Linked DNA regions of Sus scrofa. The protein of the gene in region 1 interacts with the protein of each later gene in a pairwise test. Links are inferred from orthologs where the notes say so. Each region holds a gene or a part of one and is shown on either strand. Other genes may lie near its edges.

Evidence for each region. The genes of interacting proteins can lie anywhere in the genome.
Region 2: the proteins of TFIP11 (region 1) and CCND3 interact in binary tests that used the Homo sapiens proteins (3 or more experiments, as listed by UniProt). The two-hybrid records come from large-scale screens. The link is inferred for Sus scrofa from reciprocal best matches to the Homo sapiens genes TFIP11 and CCND3.
Region 3: the proteins of TFIP11 (region 1) and CCDC42 interact in binary tests that used the Homo sapiens proteins (3 or more experiments, as listed by UniProt). The two-hybrid records come from large-scale screens. The link is inferred for Sus scrofa from reciprocal best matches to the Homo sapiens genes TFIP11 and CCDC42.

What each region holds. Positions count from the first base shown.
Region 1 is NC_010456.5:44,104,740-44,112,332, reverse strand, and holds part of TFIP11 (tuftelin-interacting protein 11), read left to right. Parts: intron 1-613; 5' UTR 614-622; coding exon 623-831; intron 832-5,783; coding exon 5,784-5,937; intron 5,938-6,255; coding exon 6,256-6,412; intron 6,413-7,593. UniProt on the Homo sapiens protein: Involved in pre-mRNA splicing, specifically in spliceosome disassembly during late-stage splicing events. Intron turnover seems to proceed through reactions in two lariat-intron associated complexes termed Intron Large (IL) and Intron Small (IS).
Region 2 is NC_010449.5:37,085,776-37,093,368, reverse strand, and holds the end of CCND3 (G1/S-specific cyclin-D3), read left to right. Parts: intron 1-2,815; coding exon 2,816-2,975; exon of another isoform or gene 2,976-3,403; coding exon of another isoform or gene 3,404-3,479; coding exon 3,480-3,616; intron 3,617-4,042; coding exon 4,043-4,210; 3' UTR 4,211-6,033; downstream 6,034-7,593. UniProt on the Homo sapiens protein: Regulatory component of the cyclin D3-CDK4 (DC) complex that phosphorylates and inhibits members of the retinoblastoma (RB) protein family including RB1 and regulates the cell-cycle during G(1)/S transition.
Region 3 is NC_010454.4:53,871,243-53,878,835, forward strand, and holds part of CCDC42 (coiled-coil domain-containing protein 42A), read right to left. Parts: intron 3,711-7,593; coding exon 3,489-3,710; intron 3,362-3,488; coding exon 3,203-3,361; intron 1-3,202. UniProt on the Homo sapiens protein: Essential for male fertility. Required for sperm development.

The DNA.
Region 1 (7,593 bases):
TAGTTCTTTTATGTGGTTTGTGTGTATGTGAGTGTATACAATTGATGTTTTACAACATTGACTAGGACAAGGAAATAACATGCTTAAGAATCACATGGACTGGGAGTTCCTGTCTTGGCTCAGTGGTTATCTAATCTGACTAGGAAACATGAGGTTGTGGGTTCGATCCCTGGCCTTGCTCAGTGGGTTAAGGATCCGGCGTTGCTGTGAGCTGTTGTGTATATGGTGCAGACGCAGCTCGGATCCTAAGTTACTGTGACTGTGGAGTAGGCCAGTGGCTACAGCTCCAATTTGACCTCTAGCCTGGGAACTTCCATACGCTGCGGAAGTGGCCCAAGAAATGGCAAAAAAATGTAAAAAAATTAAAAAAATAAAATGAAATACTTAAAAAAAACCACATGACTGTTGGGACTATTTTGTTCCACCTGTCTTAGTACATATTGTTTTTTGAAAGGATTTAGTGTCTGCTTTATTGAATTGTAACAACAATTTTGGTGAACTTGGAGTTTGGAGGAAGTTCTGAAGGCAGCAGGGAGTAGGGACTCACAGGGAAGCCTTCTGCTGATGCTTGCAGGACTTGTCACAGACTATACTTTTTCATCCCTTCCTTTAGTGACAGGTCATGTCTCTATCCCACTTGTACCGGGACGGAGAAGGCCACATGGATGATGACGAGGATGAGCGGGAGAACTTTGAGATCACCGACTGGGATCTCCAGAATGAATTCAACCCTAACCGGCAGCGCCACTGGCAGACCAAGGAAGAGGCCACCTACGGAGTGTGGGCAGAGCGTGACTCAGATGAAGAGAGGCCCAGCTTTGGAGGCAAACGGTATGGCTGGCATGGGCTGCTTCCCCAGGAGTTGGGGAACTACCCCACTAAGCATCTGTCTCTCCTAGCCCCACTAAGTCCCTTAGCTGCATCATCAGCCAGGGAGCCAGTTCCTCTTTAGGCTTGGGTGCTGGCCTCTCACTGACTGGGTCATCAGTTGGTGTTAATTGAGCAATTATGTGTATTAGGCCTTGTGCTTTAGGCCCAGTCCTTGCTTTCCAGGAGCTGCAACTCTGGCTGTTGGAGACGGGCATTGATCAACAGCAGAAGTGGAAGTCTGTAACTGATTGAGGACCTGAGGGGGGACCTATTTTAGGGTGTTTGACCTATTCGGGAGGTTAGGGAAGATGGAGAATCAGGGCAGCACCGGTAAACAAAGGCCTTTGCTGGGAGGCAGCAGGGAATCCAAGAGGACATGAGACGTTGTGAGCTGGAGAGGGAAGGGGTGTCATCTGAGAAAGAGGCCTTGGGTCTGTGTGGAGAGGGTGTGACATGCGGGGAGGGGGCGTGTTTGAAGATCCTTTTGCTCAGGTGCAGGCTCGGGGTTGAGCCACAGTGGAAGAGGGGCCTCTGTGAGGAGGCCCGGGCCAGGCAGTAGTAGAGACCAGGGCTGGGCTGGTGGCAGGGGATGAGGACTGGGACTGAAAGCCCCCTCCTCAGCGTGGAGTTGCCTGTGTTGGCTGCAGCTTGCCTGACCAGAGTGTGTAGCAGGTTTGGCTTTGTCTTTCTGTCCCCACCTGAGGCCTGGAGGCTCCAACCCATTGCAATTGTACATTTTTGACAAAGGAGGCTGGGAGTTCCCACTGTGGTTCAGCGGGTTAAGAACACAACCTAGTGTCCCTGAGGATGTGGGTTTGATCCCTGTCCTTGCTCATGGGGTTAGGGATCCAGTGTGGCAGTGGCTGTGGTGTAGGCTGGCAGCTCAACTCCAATCTGACCTAGCCTGGGAACTTCCATATGCCACAGGTGTGGCTATAGAAAGAAAAAAACAAACCAACAGAAAAAAGGAGGTTGGGAGAAAGAGCAGAAATCAGTGCGACCTCTTCTCATCTGTAAGAAATCTAAAGTGAATGATGACTAGATCAGGGATCAAGAATTTTATGTCTATAAGATAGTAATGGCCTTCACTGCTTCCTTGTTCAGGCGTGGTCTCTATTACCCTGCTTACAAGAGAAAGGTGCCATTATTATCATCCCATTTTACAGATTAAGAAACTGTGGCCAGGAGTTGCCTGGTGGCCTAACAGTTAATTATATGGCATTGTCACTGCTGTGGCATGGTTTCAATCTCTGGCCTGGGAACGTCTATATGTTTCTGCCATGGCCAAAAAAAGGAAAGAAAAAAACTCCAGCCAAAAGTCGTACAGCTAAACTGTTAGAATCTGGACCTTACTCTACATTTGGGCTCTTATATTGCACCTCTAGGAGAATATTCTCTTAGTTTTATTGCTGCCATGGAGAGGTTTCTTTACGAGGTTAGTCATTTTATAAAGCATCACCTTATTTTGCAATACTCTTGGGGACTTTCCTTGTTTGATTTTTGTGCTTGAAATAGTGTCTGAAACAAATGCTTTGTTTTTCTTTTTCCTTTTTTGGCCACCTCACGTCAGAAGGAGTTACCAGGCCAGGGATCAGATTGGAGCTACACTTGTAACCTATGTTGTTGCTGCAGCCATGCTGGGCCCTTAACCCCCTATGCTGGGCTAGGGATCAAACCTGCATTGCAGTGCTCCAGAGACAACAGTGATCCCATTGTGCTTACAGTGGGAACTCCTTGTGTTTATTTTTAAAAGAAAAAAAAAATTTTGAGTTCCCTTGAGGCACAGCAGGCTGAGGATCTGGCATTGTCACTGTAGTGCCTTGGGTTGCTGCTCTGGCATGGGTTTGATCACAGGCCTGGGAACATTCACATGCTACAGGCATGGCCAGAAGAAAATTTTGTTTTTTTAATTGAAGTATATTTGATTTACAGTGTTGTGTTAATTGGTTTATCATAGGACACTGAATATGGTTCTCTGTGCTGTACAGGACCTTGTTTATCCTCTCCACGTATAATAGCTGCATTTGCTAACCCCAGCCTCTCACTCCACCCCCTTGGCAACCACAAGTCTTTTCCATGAATTTGTTTCTTTTCTGTAGATAGGTTCATTTGTGCCACATGTTAGATTCCAGATATAAGTGAAATCATATGGTATTTGTCTCTTTCTGACCTGCTTCATTTGATACAATTAGTATGAGAGTCTCTAGTTCTATCCACGTTGCTGCAAATGGCGTTATTTTGTTCTTTTTTATCACTGAGTGGTATTCCATTGTGCATATGTACCACATCTTCTTAATCCATTCCCCTGTTGCAGGACATTTAGGTTGTTTCTATGTCTTGACTATTGTGACTAGTACTGCAATGAACATAGGAGTGCGTGTATAATTTTCCTTGAAATCTTTGTCTGGATATATGCCCAGGAGTGGGATTGCTAGATCATCTGGTAGTTCTATATTTAGTTTTCTGCTGTACCTCCATACTGTTTTCCATTGTGGTGGGACCAGTTTACATTCCCACCAACAGTGTAGGAGGGTTCCCTTTTCTCCACACCCTCTCCAGCATTTGTGATGCCATTCTGACAAGTGTGCAGTTGTACCACATTGTAGTTTTGATTTGCATTTATTGAATAATTATTGATGAGCTTTTTTTTTTTTTTTTTTTTTTTTGCTGTTGAGTTGTATGAGTTGTGTGTATTTTGGAAATTAAGCGTTGCATCATTTGAAACCATTTCCTACCATTCTGTAGTTTGTCTTTTTGCTTTTTTTATGGTTTCCTTTGGTGTGCAAAAGCTTGTCAGCTTGATTAGGTCCCATTGGTTTATTTTTGTTTTTATTTCTGTTATCTTTGGAGACTGACTTAGGAAAACATTTGTACCATTGATGTCAGAGAATGTTTTGCCATGTTCTCTTCTAGGAGTTTGATGGTGTCTTATGTTTAAGTCTTTAAGCTATTTTGAGTTTATTTTTGTGTATGGTATGAGGATGTGTTCTAGTTTCATTGATTTACTGTCCATTTTTCCCAGCACCACTTCCTGAAGAGACTGTCTTTTTCCCATTTTATAGTCTTGCCTCCTTTGTCAAAGGTTAATTGACCACATGTCCAGGTTTATTTCTGGGTTCTGTATTCTGTTCCATTGATCTGTATGTCTGTTTTTGTACCAGTACCATACTGTGTTGATTACTGTAGCTTTGTAGTATTGTCTGAAGTCTGGGAAAGTTATGCCTCCTGCTTGGTTTTTGTTCTTCAGGATTTCTTTGGCAATTCTGGGTCTTTTATGGTTCCATATACATTTTTGGATTGTTTGTTCTAGTTCTGTGAAAAATGTCATGGATAATTTGATAGGGATTGCATTGAACCTGTAGATTGCTTTGGGTAATGTGGCCATTTTAATGATATTAATTCTTCCAATCCAGGAGCATGAAATATCTTTCCATTTCTTTGAATTTCTGTAGTTAATTTCTTTTTTTTTTTTTTATGCTTTTTAGGGCCACACTTGTGGCCTATGGAAGTTTCCAGGCTAGGGGTCAAATCACAGCAACATCAGATCCGCATCTGTTGACCCACACCACAGCTCATGGCAAGACCAGATCCTTAACCCACTTAGTGAGGCCAGGGATCAAACCTGCAACCTCATTGTTCCTAGTTGGATTTGTTTCCCCTGTGCCAAAATGGAAACTCCTCCATGATTAATGTTTTATAGTTCTTAGCATATAAGTCTTCCACCTCCTTAGTCAGGTTTATTCCTAGGTATTTAATTTTTTTTGAGTGCCATTTAAAAATGTTGTATTTTTATATTCCTTTTCTAATACTTAATCCTTAGTATACAGAAGTGCAACTGATTTTTGAACGTTAATCTTGTATCCTTGAATTTTTGCTGAATTTGTTGATCAGTTTGAGTAATTTTTGTGTGGCATCCTTAAGGTTTTCTATATATACTATCATGTCATCTGCATAGAGTGACAATTTTACCTCTTTTTTTTTTGGATACTTTTTATTTCTTTTGTCTGTCTGATTGCTGTGGCTAGGCCTTCCAATACTATGTTAAATAAAATTGGTGAGCGTGGACATCCTTGTCTTGTTCCAGATTTTAGTGGAAAGGCTTTCAGCTTTTCGCCATTGAGTATCATTCTGGCTGTGGGTTTGTCATGGATGGCTTTTACTGTGTTGAGATGTGTTCCCTCTATACTTGATTTGGTAAGAGTTGAATGGATGATCCAACTTGAATGGATGTTGAATTTTGTCAAATGCTTTTTCTGCACCTATTGAGATGATCATGTGGTTATTGTCTTTTTTGTTGTCGATGTGGTGTATCACATTGATTTGTGCACGGCGAACCATCCTTGTAAACTTGGGGTGAATCCCATTTGGTTATAATGTGTGATTTTTTTTTTGATGTCTTGTTGGATTTGGCTTGCTGATATTTTCTTGAGAATTTCCGTATCTATATTCATGAAAGATATTGACCTGTAATTTTCTCTTTTTTCTGGTTTTGGTGTAAATGCTTTTTAAAGTAAGTTAATTTTAAAAACGTAAAAGGAAGAGCTCCTGTTGTGATTCACTGGTAGTGAACATGACTAGTATCCATAAGGACGAGGGTTCGATCCCTGGCCCACTTAGTGGGTTAAGGATCTGGCACTGCCATGAGCTGTGGTGTAGGTCGAAGATGTGGCTCAGATCCGGCGTTGCTGTGGTTGTTGAGTAGGCCTACAGATACAGCTCCAGTTGAACCCTCTCGCCTGGGAACTTCCATATCCCACAGGTACAGCCCTCAAAAACAAAAAATAAAAAATAAAATGGATCCCACAAGGTCAACTCTAAGGAACTCTCTGGCCAGCAAGGTTTCTACATGGGATGGTTTCAGGAGAGTTCTTAATGACCCTATGGGCTGTGGGGCCTTGTGTTTTTACCTGCAGGGCTCGTGACTACTCGGCACCAGTCAACTTCATCAGTGCTGGGCTCAAGAAAGGGGCAGCAGAGGAGGCGGAGCTGGAAGATTCTGATGATGAAGAGAAACCTGTTAAGCAGGATGAATTTCCTAAGGATTTTGGACCAAAGAAGTTAAAAACGGTAGCCTCCTTATTGACGTGTTGTGACTTTAGTAATATCCCTGGAGCATCTTTGTGGTGCAAGCATCTGCTCACAATTGGCGGGGGCGGGGGGCGGCGGCATTGTGTGGGTCTCCCTGTGGTAGTGCATCTCCCTGAGGGGTGATGTGTGCAGTGCAGTCTCTTCTATTCCCTAAGATGCATCAGAGGTAGGTTTGATTGGTGAGATATTTTTCATAATGCTCTGTGACTGCCAGGTCATGCTCCCATCAGCTAAGCTTGCTTTATTACGTTTTCCTTCTTTTTCTATTAACTAAACTTTGATTTTTCTCCTTTTCAGGGTGGTAACTTTAAACCCAGTCAGAAAGGTTTTGCAGGAGGAACCAAGTCGTTCATGGATTTTGGCAGCTGGGAAAGACACACAAAAGGAATTGGACAGAAGCTGCTTCAGAAGATGGGCTATGTCCCTGGAAGGGGCCTTGGGAAGAATGCACAAGGTGTGGCAGTCCCACCCCACAGTCTTGCACTTGCTGTCAGGCAGAGGTGGGAAGAGCAGGGAGGGCAGTGGCCTCCTCTTTTCTGCTTTTTCACTGTTCGGAGGGCTGGGACCCTGCAGCCTGTTCTGCCAGCACAGATGCTGTGCTCTATGCTTCATGCTTTATCAGAACTCAAGTTACATAAAATACTTGTTTCGGCAGGAGGGAGAGGTTAGGGTTTAAATCAGGCTGACAGGCTGAGAACAGGCTTCTTTCTAGCCTGCCCGGTGTTTCTAAAAAATCAAACTGGTTGCCAATATTTAAAAAGCAGACAGTTTCACTTCCATTCTAGAGTTGCCTGGCAGTGACTGGTTTAGCTGAGTCCTTGCTGTCCCAGTCAGCACCCAAGGCCTTCTCCTGGAAGCTGCCTCCACACTCCCCTTTTACTCCAGCCCACTTTCCCTGTTCATATTAATGTTCCTGGACCCTAAAGGCATATGAGTTTGGACTCTTGCTCATGCGGGGGCAGGACAGGTAACTATTTTTTAGTTTTGCAAAAAGCCAGTTACCTGTCCTTCAGGAATATCAGTAAAACATCAGGTGTTGCCTTTTGTTTTACAACACTCACCAGTGGGATGTCATCAGTAGTATTCTCTGTAATTCAGATTCAGCCCCTAGGTATTATAAAGTTAGATATGGATTGTGGGTTGAAAACATCAGCCGTATGAAGAATCCATGGACTTGAGTGGCAATGGCATGGGAGTGAGGGAAGTGTGCTAATTGGGATTTCAACAGTACTAGCTGGAAGGGGCCTGGTAGGAAGTCTGGGGTGTGGCAGTTCTTCACTGAAATGCAGTCCTGTTTGTAAACTTTTACAAGAAAAATACTTATTTTCCAGGCTTAAACTTGTTATAGCTCATAGGAGATATGAACTCCTAAGTAAAATAGGTGGAGTTTCATATTAAATGGCAGCTTCACCTTACTTCAGTCAGAATCAATATAATATCTGAATTAATGGGCTTCCAAATGAGCAGAGTATAGAATCTAATTTGCCTGAGATCCCAGTTATAAAATATTCCTGTCCACTAAAAAAAAACCAACAAGTCCAAGTAGAAATGGAAGTCTGTATTTAGGATACAAACAATATCAGCACACTGTTTTGTGGCAGCACACACGCTCAGAAGCTTCTGGCCACACAGGAG
Region 2 (7,593 bases), on another chromosome or scaffold:
TGTGATGGTCAGCGTAGCCCCCGCCCAGGTCGTAGCCGCCCCCCCCCGTTCCCCCCCCCCACGCGCTCCCAGGCCTGCGCTGCCGGCAGGAACTAAATCCCCTTCTCCTGGCCTCCAGGGGGTGCCACTCCTTCCTGGTCTTTCCTCCAGATAGCAACAAGTCAAACTGCATGTCTACACTCACTAGTACTTTGCCTCTGGGTTTACACAGCCACCGTGAGTTATTTATTGGCAGCAGCAGGACGTGCCTGCGCACCCCCACTGGAGTCGGGGAGTGGAATGTGCTTCGTGTGGGGGAGGGGGGCTCGGTTGAGTCTTTATCCCAGTGTGTGGACTTTGTGATGGAAAAGCCTCCCAGAGCAGATTAAAGCCAGGCGTTGGTGGCTCTGAGGCAGGGCCGTGGCGTTTGGTCCCACCTTCTTCTCTCCTTCCTCTTCTCTCCCCAGGGAGACCGCTCCTTCCGAATCCTCCCTTCCTAGCCTCTCTCTGAAAAACCTGAGCAGCTGCTCCTGGCCTGGTGGAATCATCTCTCCCTTTCCCCCTTAGCCAAAGGCCAGAGCTGAGGGACAGACAGGGGGGCTGAGCTGCAGCTGCTTCCGATGTGATAATGATGGCCTCTCCCCAGGCCCACCCACTCTGCCCAAGGTCTTTCATAACCCTGTGGGGAGCTGCTGTCACTCCTGTGGTTTGGGAAGTGGCTCCCTGGGCCTCTTGCTGGGAACTCAGGCTGGGTGCTTCCGAGACAGAGGAGTGATGGGCTCTCCTTCCCCACTGAGCTGGGAGAGGAGGTTGCTGAGGGCCTGCAGATCATGCTTGGGGGTCTGGGGGAGAGGGCTGAGCCGGCACCTTCCTCCACCTTGCTCTGCAGCCGCCTGGTCAGAGCAGGAGTCCTGGGGCCCCATCTCCCGGGGAGGAGGGCAGCGTGCCGGCTGCTGTGATTGGCTGGCTGGGAAGCCAGGGTACTGGGGCCCCCGAGTGCTGCTTGTCGAGGAGCAGGATTCCTCTTCCTGCCAAATAGCTCTCAGAGATGGGAGTAGGAGGCCGGAGTTGGGAATCTGGGAGGCCCCACAGCTCTTGGTGATGAATCTGGTAGTTGTCGGCAAGTCTGAAGGTGGAGCTGGTTTCCAGGACTAGTAAGCAGACTGTTTTTGGAGGGGTTGGGGCTAAGAAGGTAGAAGGGGACTTCCTTTTTGTGGAAAGATTGGGGTGATGTGGGTGCCTTAGGTGAGGGAAGTTTTTCAGAATAGACAGAAAGTCCTCGACCCCCACTCCCGTGCCTGGGCTGGGGGTGGAGTGAGCCGGTGACTCCCTAGAAGGTTAGAGTTGGAAGCCCCCCCCCCACCCGGGGGGCCCTGAGAGCTCCAGTCAGTCCAAATCCTTGTGCCACAGAGGCTGGGACCCAGAGGAGAGAAGGGTCCTACCTCAGCATTGCCCTGGGGCAGAGGAGCAGGCTTTGGGGGTGCTAGCTAGCTCAGGTGGCCTCCGGTAGCCTAAGAGGTCATGGAAGCTGCCAGGCATGTGTTCTCTTCTGAGCTTGGGCTGAGATTCAGGGGTTGCCTGGATACAGGCTTAGGTGGCCACCCTCCCTCATGCAGGGCCCTAGGCCTCTCCACAGGGAAAGCCCCTCTCCTAGTTGCCTTCCAGATGTTTCCTTGTTTGCTTCGAGTTAGGAGCTTGAGTTTGACCGCTGGGACAAGGACCAGGAGTGGGACGCTAGCTTCTCTGCCCTGCTTCTCCTGGCCCCAGGCCAGGCTGTTTTCTGTGGGGCACTGTGAGACATTTAAGAGGATGACACCTAGGCGGGGCCCGGAGACGGAGAGCTGTGTGTGACTGGGGGCCTCGAAGAGGTTGGGTGGGGTCACCCTTTCTACCTTAGTGAGGGGTCAAACCCATGAGTTCCTTCCTGAGACGGAGCAGTGAAGAAATCCTCATGTGTGCAACTCAGAAATGGGGCCAGGGCTGGGGACCCCAGACAAGTGGATTGGGGTGGGGCCCCCAGCCTCCTTCCAGGACCTAGCAGTGGTGCAGCAGCCAGGGCAGATGGAGAGGAGGTTTGCCTCCTCAGGGATCATCTGGATCCATCCTGTCTGGCTTGGCCTCCACTTCTCTTCCTGAGACTCCAGTGCTTCTAGCGGCCATGGGTTCCAGCCAAAGGGGTGGAGTGGGGTGCTCTACCTCAATCCCCCCTGCCCCCCCCACCCCATGTCCCACCAAGGGGATGTGGGTTGGGTTGGGCAACCTCCACTTTGAGGAACCTCAGGGTTGGCTCACGGGCTGTGTCACAGGAGGTGTGGCCTCATGCTCACCCCAGTTTCTTCAAGAGGTGTGGACTTGATTGGGAGGCTCTGTGGTGGGAGAGGCTAGTGGTGAGCTCCCCTTTCACAAGTCCTTGGGATCACGGAGTCTTTCTGCTTCACACCAGAGGAGCCTCAAGTTCATGGTGATGCTGGTGGTGTCTGCTGCAGTCTTGTCTTTCAACCCTGGCTTAGAGAAGTACTCAGAGCTCTGCAGGAAGTCAGGAGAAGGCCTGGATTATTGGCCCCCAAAGATTAACCTAGCAGGATTAAAAGAGACGATTCACGTACAGCACGTCATTTTGGCACCTAGAAAGTGATCAATACGTGCTCAAAGCAAGTGTCCCCAGCTCTGTCCTGCCCTGGGCGCCCCACTCCCCTCCAGTGCCAGTCCCTAAACTCAGAAGCAGAACTGGGGTCCTGACCTTCAAGTGTGATGGGCTTCCTTCCCCAGGAGACTTCCTCTTTACTCCCGCCCCTTCCCTTTAGCCACTAACTCCACCCTCTTCCTCAACCTCCAGGATTGGGAGGTGCTGGTCCTGGGGAAGCTCAAGTGGGACCTGGCCGCTGTGATTGCCCATGATTTCCTGGCTCTGATTCTCCACCGGCTCGCTCTGCCCCGTGACCGACAGGCCTTGGTCAAAAAGCACGCCCAGACCTTTTTGGCCCTCTGTGCTACAGGTAGGAGTCCGACACACATTTTTGCCAAACCAGAAAAATTGTAAGACTTAAACGCGTGAGAGGAGACTAGGAGATTCTGATTTATACTCTCTCAAGATTTGTGAAGGTTCTATCCCCTGAGTCCCCAGCTCAGAAGAGCAGCAGAACATGGAGCTGTATGGGATTTCAGAGACAGCCCCCCGCCTTAGGTGGGTGGGGACATTGAGGGCCTAGGGTCTCACAGTGATGAAGTTGGTAGCAGAACCTGGGTCTCTTAACCCTAATTTTGTGTCCACACCTGGAAGAGACTCATTTACTCCCTGGTCCCTGGCTAGGATCACTACAGACCACCCTGGACCAGACCCTTGCCTGCCTCTCTCTCCCCACTCACTGCTGGGGTTTTCCTGTACACCCCTGCCCGATTCATACAGCCTGGCACTTTCTGAGGAATGGAAGGGCCATACTGTTTGTTATCCTTGAAATCTTCCTGCTTCAGTCCTTTCTTCCCCCCCACCCCCCCCCAAGATTACACCTTTGCCATGTACCCGCCATCCATGATCGCCACGGGCAGCATTGGGGCTGCAGTGCAAGGCCTGGGTGCCTGCTCCACATCTGGAGATGAGCTCACGGAGCTGCTGGCTGGGATCACAGGCACTGAAGTGGTGAGTGTTGGGCAGTGAATGGTGCAGCAGTTCCTGAGGCTATGCTATTCCTTGAGCCTCCAGCAGAGGGAGCTGTCCCCCCTCCTTGGTCCCCACCTTCTGTGGCCTTTACTCTCCTGCCTTGGTCTGGAGAAGAGCAAGTGTCTTGGGTGGGCTGAAGGGCATTGTCCCTGGGTACCCTTTTCTTGCCAAATCGTGTACAGGAGTGGGGTTGGGGGTTTGGTGTCAGATGCTGGGCTGCTCTCACACCCTCTTGCCACATCCTCTTGCCAGTTTCTGAGAATCGAAGGCTGATTCCTGGGGTTGGGCTGTGGCCTCACCTCCCCAGACTTCCCTGTGTGCTGGGAGGCGTCCTCCAGCACCTGCTCCTAGACGCTCTGGCAGGAAGGAAGTGGGCCCTCTTCACTGTTCCCCCTGTGTTCCCAGGACTGCCTGCGGGCCTGTCAGGAGCAGATCGAAGCTGCCCTCAGGGAGAGCCTCAGGGAAGCCGCCCAGACCTCCCCCAGCCCAGCGCCCAAAGCCCCCAGGGGCTCCAGCAGCCAGGGGCCCAGCCAGACCAGCACTCCCACAGATGTCACAGCCATCCACCTGTAGCCCTGGAGAGGCCCCCTCGAGTGGCCACCAACAGCAGAGGAGGGGACACTGCCACCCCCTCTCCTCCCTGCCTGCAGGAACGAACCATGCCACAGCCGAAGCCCGAGGGGGCTCCTTCTTACTCGCCCCTCGCAAGCCGAAGGGCCAGGTCCTACCTATCCTTGCAGCGTGCACTAAGGGCCCAGCCGGCTGTGCTGGTGGCCAGTCAGGCTCCTCCTTCTCCCCGCATCTGACTCTGCTCCTTCCCATTCCACTAGGGGTGGGCCAGACTGGCCAGAGATGAAATTGCAGTAGGTAAAATACATGCACCAGCATTCCTTCTGGGGGACCCCATATCCTGGGGCTCTCGTGTTCTCGACTGCCAAAACCCTCTGATGCCTTGTAAAGGTGCTGCACCCTCTAGTTACTGCATTTGGATTGGAGTCTTTCTGCAGAACCTTCAGATGGTGCGAGGGGAGTCTGGAGAAGTCCTCGCAAGGCACTTGGAGGCCCCTGCGTAATCCATGTCCCCAGCTGCTCCTGGGGGAGGGGCCCCAGCTTCTGTCCGACTCCCTTGCTTGGCTTTTTGCTCAGCTTCTCCTGTGTGATTTGGGGGCCGGGGGGAGAAGGTCAGTGCTAAAGGAAGAGGTTTTAATTTATTAATTGCTTTAAGTACAACTATAAGAAGGTGTGGTGGGCCCCTCTACCCCGAGCGGTGGTAACCCTGGTGGTTGCTGCATCCCTCCCCTCTGCTGCTGCTGGCTCGAGGATCTTTGTGGCCAAGGAGCTGCTACAGCCTGGGAAGGGCCGTGCCCTCCTCTCCCTCTGGCCCATCCTCGGGGTGGGGGGGGAGGTGAAGCAGGGATGACCTGGAGGTGACGGCCCCCGACTGGAGAGGGAGGCAAGCCCTGTTGACACAGGTCTTTCCTAAGGCCACAAGGTCCAGGCTGGTGGCCCAGGACCATCATGCTATGTTAATAAAAATTCTGGAATAAAACTGGCTTTGGCTTCTTGGGATGGATGGTGGGCTGGGCAAAAGCTGATTTCCAGATTGCGTGGGATAAAGAGGGTCCTGAGCAGGAGCTTCCAAGCCTCTTCCATGAAGGGCCAGAGGACCTTAGGCTTTGTGGGCTCCGTGGTCTCTGCCCGAGTCAGTGCTGCTTTATAGTGCAGTGTCCGTGTTCCTAAAAATCACCGCACCATACAAAACTGCACGGCAAAAACCAGAGCTTATGGGAAAAATGGGCCTTGAAGCACCATCCTCAACAACTTATTGAGTGACACTGTCTTGCAAAAAGGAAAGAGGAGGAGTTCCCTTATGGTGCAGTGGGTGAAGGATCCAGGGCTTGGGTCGCTGTTGTGGCACAGGTTTTGACCCCTGGCCCAGGAACCTCTGTGCCAAAAAAATAAAGAGAAAGGAAAGAGGAGAGCATTTTTACACATTAAATGGTTAAGAAGCAAACGCCTCAAGTCTGCTGCTGAGCGTGGAGGTGGGAAGGATGGAGGATGTGGAAGGCAGGTGCCACCAGGCATGGGCGTAGCTAACAGCCACAAGGTGAACTGGGGGCGCTAGCACATGTCTCAGGTGTGTGTGTTTTGTGGACTATCTGGTTTGGCTCAGTTGGGTAGTTTTTTTGCTTTCACCTGGTGTTTCTCAGAGACAAAGCTGCGTATCAACATGAAACTTGCTTTATGATCAGATTCCGCCCAAATACATTCATCACGTGAAAAACTCACGTTTTTCAAAAGCAAATAGTGTTAGCCAGATTCAACTCCCTGCTGTAGCAGGAAAGCAGCCAGAGAAACATGGGCATGACTGTGTCCTAATTAAACTTTATTTATGGACATTGAAATCTGAGTTTCATATAGTTTTCACCTATTACAAAATAGTGTTCTTTTTTTCCCAAACATTAAAAAATATGTAAAACTCATTCTTAGCTCACGGGCTGTGAGAAAATGGGCACGTGACTTTGGCTTGCCAACCCCTGGTCAAAAGTGCTCATTAACTAAGAAGGTAGAAGGGAGCTGGTCTGGTGGTGACCCTGGATCTAGTCATTCCTGGCCCAACCTTCCTTGCCCTGTACCTCCACCCTCCTCTAGGTGCCTCCTCCCAGCTCTTCCTTCCACAGCTGAGACCATCTTCTGAACAATTTCCTGGCTGCTGGCCTTCTCCCCGAGTGGCCTGTGTCGGGGGAAGCAGAGGACATGCCCTCTAGGGGCCGGCAGTGTGGGTATAGCCTAGAGAAACAGACTCCTAGCGTGAAGAGGCAGAGGGTCCCGTGAAGACTGGGTAAGAATCCACTCCTACGCAGGAATGGGGAAGCGGTGCCCACCTCCAGCTGAAGAGTAAAAGCAGACAGATCTCTAGCCATCACATCCAAACACTGGAGCTCAATAAATACCTGCCTTTTGCTTTTATTCACAGTCCAGTGACCTAACGCAACAGCGCAAGATAAGGCACCGACTCCAAGCCTCGGCTGGGAGGCGGGAGCACTGGGCTGTGGCATCTGGGTCAGGCGGCAGAACTGGGCAGGGATGCAGGCCTAGAATGGAAGCGGGAGCCAGCCAGGCCCCATCCTCCCTGTCAGAACCGAGGCACCAGAGGCCTATGACCTGGGTCTTCAGCTGTAAAAAGCTTAGTGTCACCTTTAGTCACCAGCAGGGCTCCTCGGTGTCTTCCCAGAGCCCTCAGGCCAGGACGAGTGCTGCTTCCTCACTCCATGGTGACGGGGACGTCCTCTACATCTCGGGGGACAGCACTCTGAAGCTCACGCCTGATCTCGGGGGACAGCTGGGGATGGGACTGCACCCGGAGCAGTTCTAGGAGGGCCTCCTTCTGTTCTGTGGCCAGGTCCGCCTTGTAGCGCTGGACCAAGGTCAGGAGACACTGGTGCCAGAGCACAGGCAGTTCACGTTTCTCCGTCCGGAAGCGCAGGAAGTGGAAGACCAGGGCGTCCAGCACCCGGTACGGCAGCGCGTACTTCTTATCCAGCAGCAGCCGCAGGAAGATGCTGTTGGCACCGCTGTACTCCATCTCGGCGATCTTCAGCATGGCTGCACTGGTGGGGAGAGAGGTAGGGAGATGCTGGAGGAAAAAGATTCCCCTCCCCCTTGGCCAAACCTGTGCTGTCCCTAAAGGGGACTCTCCCGCACTCTCACCTGCCCAGTTTCAACTCCCTCAACTCCAGACACCAGCGCTTCACTGATTCATGCCAAACCCCGACCTCTGGCTCAGTGTGTTTGTCTCCGTATCCGATTAAAATACGTCCAAACGTCTGGAGAGCCCCATTCCTAACACACTCTCTTCCCATGTTCCCCACTCATTCATTCAACTATTTACTGAGCCTACCATACGCCAGGCCCTGGGGTCTTGTTCCCGCGGAACTGACAATCTTGCGGCGTAA
Region 3 (7,593 bases), on another chromosome or scaffold:
ACTAGGAAGCATGGGGTTGGGGGTTCGATCCCTGGCCTCGCTCACTGGGTTAAGATCTGGCGTTGCTGTGAGCTGTGGTGTAGGTGGCAGCGGCGGCTCGGATCCCGCGTTGCTGTGGCTGCGGTATAAGGCTGACGGCTACAGCTCTGATTCGACCCCCCGCCTGGGAACCTCCATATGCCTCGGGTGTGGGCCTGAAAAGACCAAAAAAAAAAAGAAATTAAAAATAAAAAAAAAAGATGACCTGAGGTCTGATGCAGTTCTGGAAAAATCACTTCTTTGTTCTGGGACTCAGTTTATCTTTAAAAGGGGAAGAGGGAGGGAGTTTCTACTGTGGCGCAGTGGGTACGGATCTGGAGCATGCACTAAACTTTTTAGTGCCTAGAGTCCATTTACTCCCTTGGAGGAAACTTACTGATGTCTTGGAATTGTAAGATGTGCCAAGCACGGCTTGGAAAATGCTGCTCCACACAGTTTGGGCTTTATTCAGAGACAATGCTGAAGCTTCCGCACACAGTATACGGCACGCGAATTGTCTTGGAATTTGCAGAATCCCTTATCCTAAGGGGCACCTTGCTCCCGGTTCTAGATTAGCGGCTCCCTTTGGAAGAATCTGCTGTAGAAACGCTCTCGGGAACATCATTCATTGAATGTCTCTAAAGCCTCCTTGGAAGTTTTCAGCTAGAGTTAAGTGCTGCAGAAGGTTCGCTCTCTGAGAAAAACTTGTTTTCTTTCTTTTTTCTTTTTTTTTTTTTTTTTTTTTTTTTTTTTTTTTTGTCTTTTTGCCTTTTCTTGGGCCGCTCCTGTGGCATATGGAGGTTCCCAGGCTAGGGGTCGAATCGGAACTGTAGCTGCCAGCCTCCGCCAGAGCCACAGCAACGCGGGATCCGAGCCGCGTCTGTGACCTACACCACAGCTCTCGGCAACACCGGATCGTTAATCCATGGAGCAAGGCAGGGACCGAACCCACAACCTCATGGTTCCTAGTCGGATTCGTTAACCACTGCGCCACGACGGGAACTTCCAAAACCTTGTTTTCTTAACGTGGTTTAAGAACGACGTGTTGCTTTTCCTTCTGGCTACCCGGAAGCTCAGAGCCAACCACTGTCCCTGATGCACTACTGTCACTATAATCTAAGGCTCCACAGTACATGTAGTCTCTCTCTGGCCTTGACCTCAGATTTTAACTCACATTGTCCCAGGTCTTTATTTTTCATTTTTCAGGCTACTTAGTCATATGTGTGTGCCGTAGGCTCATATGCTACGGGAACGAAGTGGGATATTTAGAAACAACATTGGGGCAATATGACGGATTCCGATGCAGGCAAATCAAGCTTGAGAGGAGTGAGGATGTTGGGGTGGAAGCTGTGGTCTGAGCCGGGGATGCTCGGGAAGGGGTGGCCAGCTGGAGTCACCGCCTCCTGCCCGTTGTTCTTTACAACGGCCAAAGAAAGGTGCGCAAGGATGCCTGGGAGTCCCTGAGACTCTACCGCTGGACACCAAAACCCTTGCTACTATAATGCTGGTTTCCCCTCCTCCTCCTCTTGTGAGACGACAGTGGCTTTTACAAGAGTGGGATGTTCCCATGACATAGGTCATCACAAGAGGCTGAATGCAGAAGCAAGTGTCAGAACTCACTTGCCCACTAAGAAGCCAGACATTAAAGGGATCTGCAAGTGTTGCATAATGCCCCTTGTCACACAAAATCCTTTTTTTGGGGGCTGCATCTGTGGCATCGTTCCCAGGCCAGGGATCAAATCCTGACTTATGCCACAGCTGCGGTCATGCCAGATCCTTAACCCACTGCAGAGGGCAGAGGATCAAACCCGCACCTCCGCAGTGACCCAGGCTGCTGCAATTGGATCCTTAACCCACCGCACCATGGCAGGAATTCCCAAAATAATTTTTGAGAACGTATTTCTCATAAAAATGCTATTTGTGTAACACACTTCGTATTGTCATTTTAAAATGAATGAATGATTTTTAATTTTTCGGCTTGAGTTTCTAATATGGGAAACAGCAGTAGCTGTAATACATAGAAACTACAGCTCTTCGAGGGTCTTCGCTGAGTTTTATAAGGGCAGAGCTATCCTGATACCGAAAAAGCATGAGGATCGCTATTTCAAAAACAATCTTTCCTACAAATTCTCTTTACAGTCTTAGGGCTGATGATAATTCTGTTCTCACATGCCTTACATTGCAGGCTGATTCTTTGCTTTACGGAAATCCTTCTTCCTGGCTGGTCAGTGGGTGAAATTCTTTACATTTCATGAATTTCATCGTTTGCTTTTTTTTTTTTTTTTTTAAACAGAGGAAGTACCTCTTAGTCAATTGCTTTTATTGGCTCGTATTTCATATTCACTCACCAAATATTTATTGAGTGCCTACTACGTGCCTGGCATGGTTCTAAACACCAGAGATGGCAGGGAATCAAGCAAACAGAAATCCCAGCCTTCGGGAGCCTACTTTCTGCTATTTCATGGCAGAGCTAAAGCCTTTTGCCAAACGAATAAATAACAAGTCAAAGTTCTCTGCACGTCACAAGACGCACGGGGAATGCACCTGCTAGCAGGGAGGTTCCCAAACTGCGGGATGCGTGTACCTTTGGTCAGAAGGAGCTGATTTTAGGTGGTACGTGGACAAGGCATCAAGTAGCTTTGAACTGTACAGCGAAAAGTCTATTTCCTTTTCAATTTCCTCCCAATTACTTCAAAGAGAAAAATCTCAGCTCGGTACTAGAATGACTCCACTTTTCTGCACTGGCTCATTTCCTTTTTCCCCACAAATTTTCTCTTTTCCCCACGGGCAGGCCTCCCTCACAAGCCTTCAGCATCTCACCAGAAATGAGTAAGGCTGTTTTGCACAGCCAGTGAATTCGGTCATGTGTCCTTGCTTCTGCCCATGTTGACGGGGCCAAGCGAGTCTTACCGCAGTCAAGCAGTTCTTGGAGTGTGGAACTCGGGTGAACACCATTCTCTGGGAACTTGGTGAAAATGGACATTCATGGGTTCTCATCTCTGACCTACTACTGAGTCGGAGGCTGCGGGTGGGCTCCAGCCATCCTCCCAGCCCCCCCCGGGGGTTCCGATCCTGTTAAAATCTGAGGACCACTACCCTGCCCGGGTCGTTCCTCCACTCGACCAATGGAGAACCATCTTGGCTCAGTAGAGCCAGCTGGCCGGGCACTCGGGCCTCCTCTTACCATGTCCAGCTGTTTGTGGGTGTCCTCCAGGGACACGAAGGTCGCCTCCTTCAGCTGCTTGCTCACGATCTGGAAGAGGTTCAGCGTGGCCATCTTAATGGTGCCGAGCAAGAGGGTTTTCTTGGCGGCGGTGTTCTGGATGTGTGCCCAGCGGGATTCCTGGCGAGGGCAGGGGGAGGCGTGAGCGCTGTGAGCATGGGTACGTGCGTGTGCGTGTGTGCGTGCACGCGTGCGTGTGTGGCCCATACTCGCCCGGCACCCAGACGCGCCCCGCCCGTGGGCTCACCCAGATGATGACGTCGCTGCGTGCGCGGTCGAAGCGCATCTGCAGGCGCGCCAGCTCGTTGTTGTGCTGCAGGATCTCGTCATCCTTCTCCTCCTTGTAGCGCGCCAGCCTCGCCTTGGCGCGCTCGATCTTCTCCTGGCCCTCCTGCGCCGCCTGCATGAGGTCGTGGTGCATGCTCACCAGCGTCTTGTAGCGCGCGATCACCTCGTGGATCTCCTCGAACTGCCGCAGGGGGAGCGGAGGGGAGCCTCCGGTCAATGCGCCCCCGCCCTGGGCTCCCACCCCACCCGCACTCTGCGCCCCCAACTCCTGGCCTGGCAGGGAGGCCCTGGGCCGAGGTCGAGGTCGAGGGGCAGAGGCTGTGAGGCCCTTGGAGCCGCGCTGCGCGCCTCCTGGGTTGGTTTGGCGCGTGTTGGGCGCATGTGCATCCAGACCTGGGGCTCCAGGTGCTGAGTGCGTGTTAGAAAAACCGGGGAACTTCAAAAAGGACACCTGTCAGGCTCCAGCCTCAGCGATCTGGACTAATACACCGCTCTGAAGTTCCCCCTGCTAATTCTGGGGTTGAGAATTGCCACCTGGGGTGGGGGCATGGGTCGATTTTGCGCTGTCTCCAATCTCAATCGTGATCGTATGTGGCAAGAATGTACCAAGACCACTTAGAAGCCCGGAACTGTGCTAAATGCTAGGGCTAGAGCAGGAGATAAGAAAGCCAGACCCCGCTTTTATGAAGCCTCCAATGTGGGGTGGTGTGGGAGGCCAGATGGCCGGTAAGTAGGCAGTTACACAGCGATAAGCCCTATCAGTGGCTGGGGGATGGGGCTGCAGCAGAGGCAGACTGTCGGGTAATATCTTCCGCCTGGTGATTTCTGGCATTTGTTCAGCAGTTGCTGGGGCCTCCCTGGAGCGGAGGCTGAAGATGGTGCCACTGGGGCCCATGGCAGGCCAGGCTTAGGGGCCCCCTCCAGTCCTGTGGCAGAGCCCACCACTCTGGCCCCACCCAGAACTCACAGGCCCCATCCATAGACCAAGAGCCCTGCCACCCTCCCTCTCCAGCAGGCAGTGTGAGCACCAGCTCCAGGATGCCAACTCATGTCCCAGGGGGGTTATCAACGTGTGCCTCCCGGCCACCCAGGGGACACTCCCTGAGTGGTTTCTCCATCTCACAACATTTCCAGCGATAGACTGGTGTTCTGGGAATTGCCCTGCTGGCCTTTCTCCAAACGTATCCTCTGTGGGGAAGGGCCACGGAACCCCCAGCATGCGGGGAGGTGGGGACAGCCAGAAGAGGCTCCCTGGGGAGAAGGATGGCCAGAGTGAGACCAGAGGTTTGAAGAGAAGCTGGCCAAAGACAGGTGGGGGAAGGTGAGAGAGTAATACAGGTAGAGGGATCAGCCTGGGTCAGGATGAGCGCAGGTGGCCCGTTCATGGCCACAGTAAGCAAGAGAGTTTAGTGGGAGCGGCCTGAGTGCAAGACGGGGAGGGAGAGACGGAAGCGCCTCCCGAGGACTGTGGACTTCATCCACTGGCGGACAGGGCAGAGAGAGAACTTCCTGTCTGCGTTTCTGAGAGATGCAATGATACACAACAGTTCAAAGAGATGGGTTGCATCAGAGCCGCGGGAGCACCTCCCCAAAACTTAGCACTGAGGTCAAAAGGACTCAGGTGCCAACTTGAAGAGGCTCCCACTGTCCAAAGATGGGACACTTTGAACGCCAGTAAGAATAAGTGCAAAGGATGGAAGCATATTAAAACCCCATGGGAGTTCCTGTCGTGGCGCAGCAGAAACGAATCCCACTAGGAACCATGAGGTTGCAGGTTCGATCCCCGGCCTCGCTCAATGGGTTAAGGATCCGGCGTTGCCGTGAGCTGTGGTGTAGGTCGCAGACGCAGCTCCGATCCCACGTGGCTGTGGCTGTGGTGCAGGCCGGCAGCTGTAGCTGCTGATTGGACCCCTAGCCTGGGAATTTCCATATGCTACGTGGTGCAGCCCTAAAAAGCAAAAAAAAAACCAAAAACAAAACACAAAACAAAAAAACAAACCATGAGCTCACAATGATACTAGCAGCATTACAGGGCACTTTTGGAGGGTGCTGGAGAGCCAACTTGGTATTCTGAAAAGTCTAATTAAGAATTGGAGTTCCCTGGTGGCCTAGCATTTGAGGATCCAGTGCTGTCACTGCTGTAGCGTGGGTCACTGCTGTGGTGAGGGTTGGAGTCCTGGCCCGGGAACTTTGGCATGCCACAGGCGTGGGCAATAAAATAAAATAAAATAAAATAGAAATTAAAGAATCAAGCATTTAACAGCTTTTTCTTTAAGACCCGCAGAGTTTTTGAATAGTTGAAGGGAGGCTCTCTTAATGAAGTCCTTCTTTTTCTTTCTTTCTTTTTTTTTTTTTTTTTTTTTGTCTCTTGAGGTCCACACCCACGGCATATGGAGGTTCCCAGGCTAGGGGTTGAATTGGAGCTACAGCTGCCAGCCTACACCACAGTCACAGCCACACCAGATCCAAACCTCATCTGCAACCTACACCACAGCGCCCGGCAACGCCAGATCCTTAACCCACTGAGCGAGGCCAGGGATCGAACCCGGAACCTCATGGTTCCTAGTCAGCCTCGTTAACCACTGAGCCATGATGGGAACTCCAATGAAGTCCTTTTCTTGATGGTAGTTTTCTAGCTCATACATGAAGGAGAGGTCTTAGGACGTTTCCAGCAGCCTAGAAGGATCTTTGGCCGCCTTTCAGTCGGTATCTGCCCCTGCCCCCACTACTGAGAAAACCAGAATTGTGACCTCTGTTATCAAAGATTCAAAGATTCATTTTACCTGCTTTGAAACACATCAGTGGGCTCGTTCAGTATGTCCCTTTTATGTGTGGCTTCTTTTGCTCAGCATGATAATAACATCTGTGGCACCTGACAAACACATCAGCCAGATGCAGTGTGGGTACCTTGTCTGGACCCCGACTGGAACCAACCAGCTGTGCAAAAAGCATTTGCAGGCGTTCCTTGGCGGCCTAGTAGTTAAGGATCTGGCATTGTCACGGCTGTGGGGAGCCTTCAATCCTTGGCCGCAGAAGGTCCGCATGCCGCGGGCACAGCCCAACCAACCAAACGAGCAGAAAGCATTTGTACAATAACTGGGGAAATTTTAACACTGACCAGAGGTAGCTGTGACAATGGTACTGTGACCATGTTAAAAAAAAAAGTTCTTTTGGGTTCTATGCTGAAATGTTTATGGATGAAAAAAATATTTGCTTCAACATGGCAGAGACGATGTTGGAATTAGGTGATGAGCCATGGGCATTCAATAGACTCTTCTCTCTACTTTTGTGTATGTTTGACATTTTCCATAATACAAATTGGTTTTTTTAAAAATCATCGTTTGGAAACAGGCTGTAAAAGGATATATACACACTATTCATAGTTTATGGATAATGTAACATGTTGCCAAAAGTAATAAAAACAAGCATGAGATTAAGAAAAAAATCTGGATACTCCTTACCACTAAGGAAAGGTGTTTCTGATGGGATTTGGAAGGGGGCCCCCGGGGGGTTTCCATTAATAGTAGTGTTTTATTCTTTTGCTTTTAAGGGCCATGCCTGTGGCATATGGGGGTTCCCAGTTTAGGGGCCAAATTGGAGATGAAGCCGCTGGCCTACACCACAGCCACAGCAATGCGGATCCAAGCCCCATCTTCGACCTACACCACAGCTCACGGCAAACGCCGGATCCTTAACCCACTGAGCGAGGCCAGGGATCGAACCTGTGTCCTCATGGAAACTAGTCAGATTTGTTTCTGCTGAGCCACAACAGGACCTCCTAGCAGTGTTTCATTGAAGAAAAAAAGAGTCAGTGGCAAATAGGGGGAAGTATTGATTTGATAAAGCTGCGGTGAGAACTCGGGTGCCGTTATATACTTCTGTGTGCTTTTCAGTATGTTTGAAACATTCTGCAAGAAATACAAGAAGGAAGGAAGAGAGGGAGAAAGACTGGAACTACACTGGCTGGAGAACGCCAGACAGGCTGGTGGCCGGGAATGATCAGAGCTGAGCTCCCGAGGAGGTGCCCTGGTGGTCTGGATGAAGAAGGGGCAGGGGCTGGATTC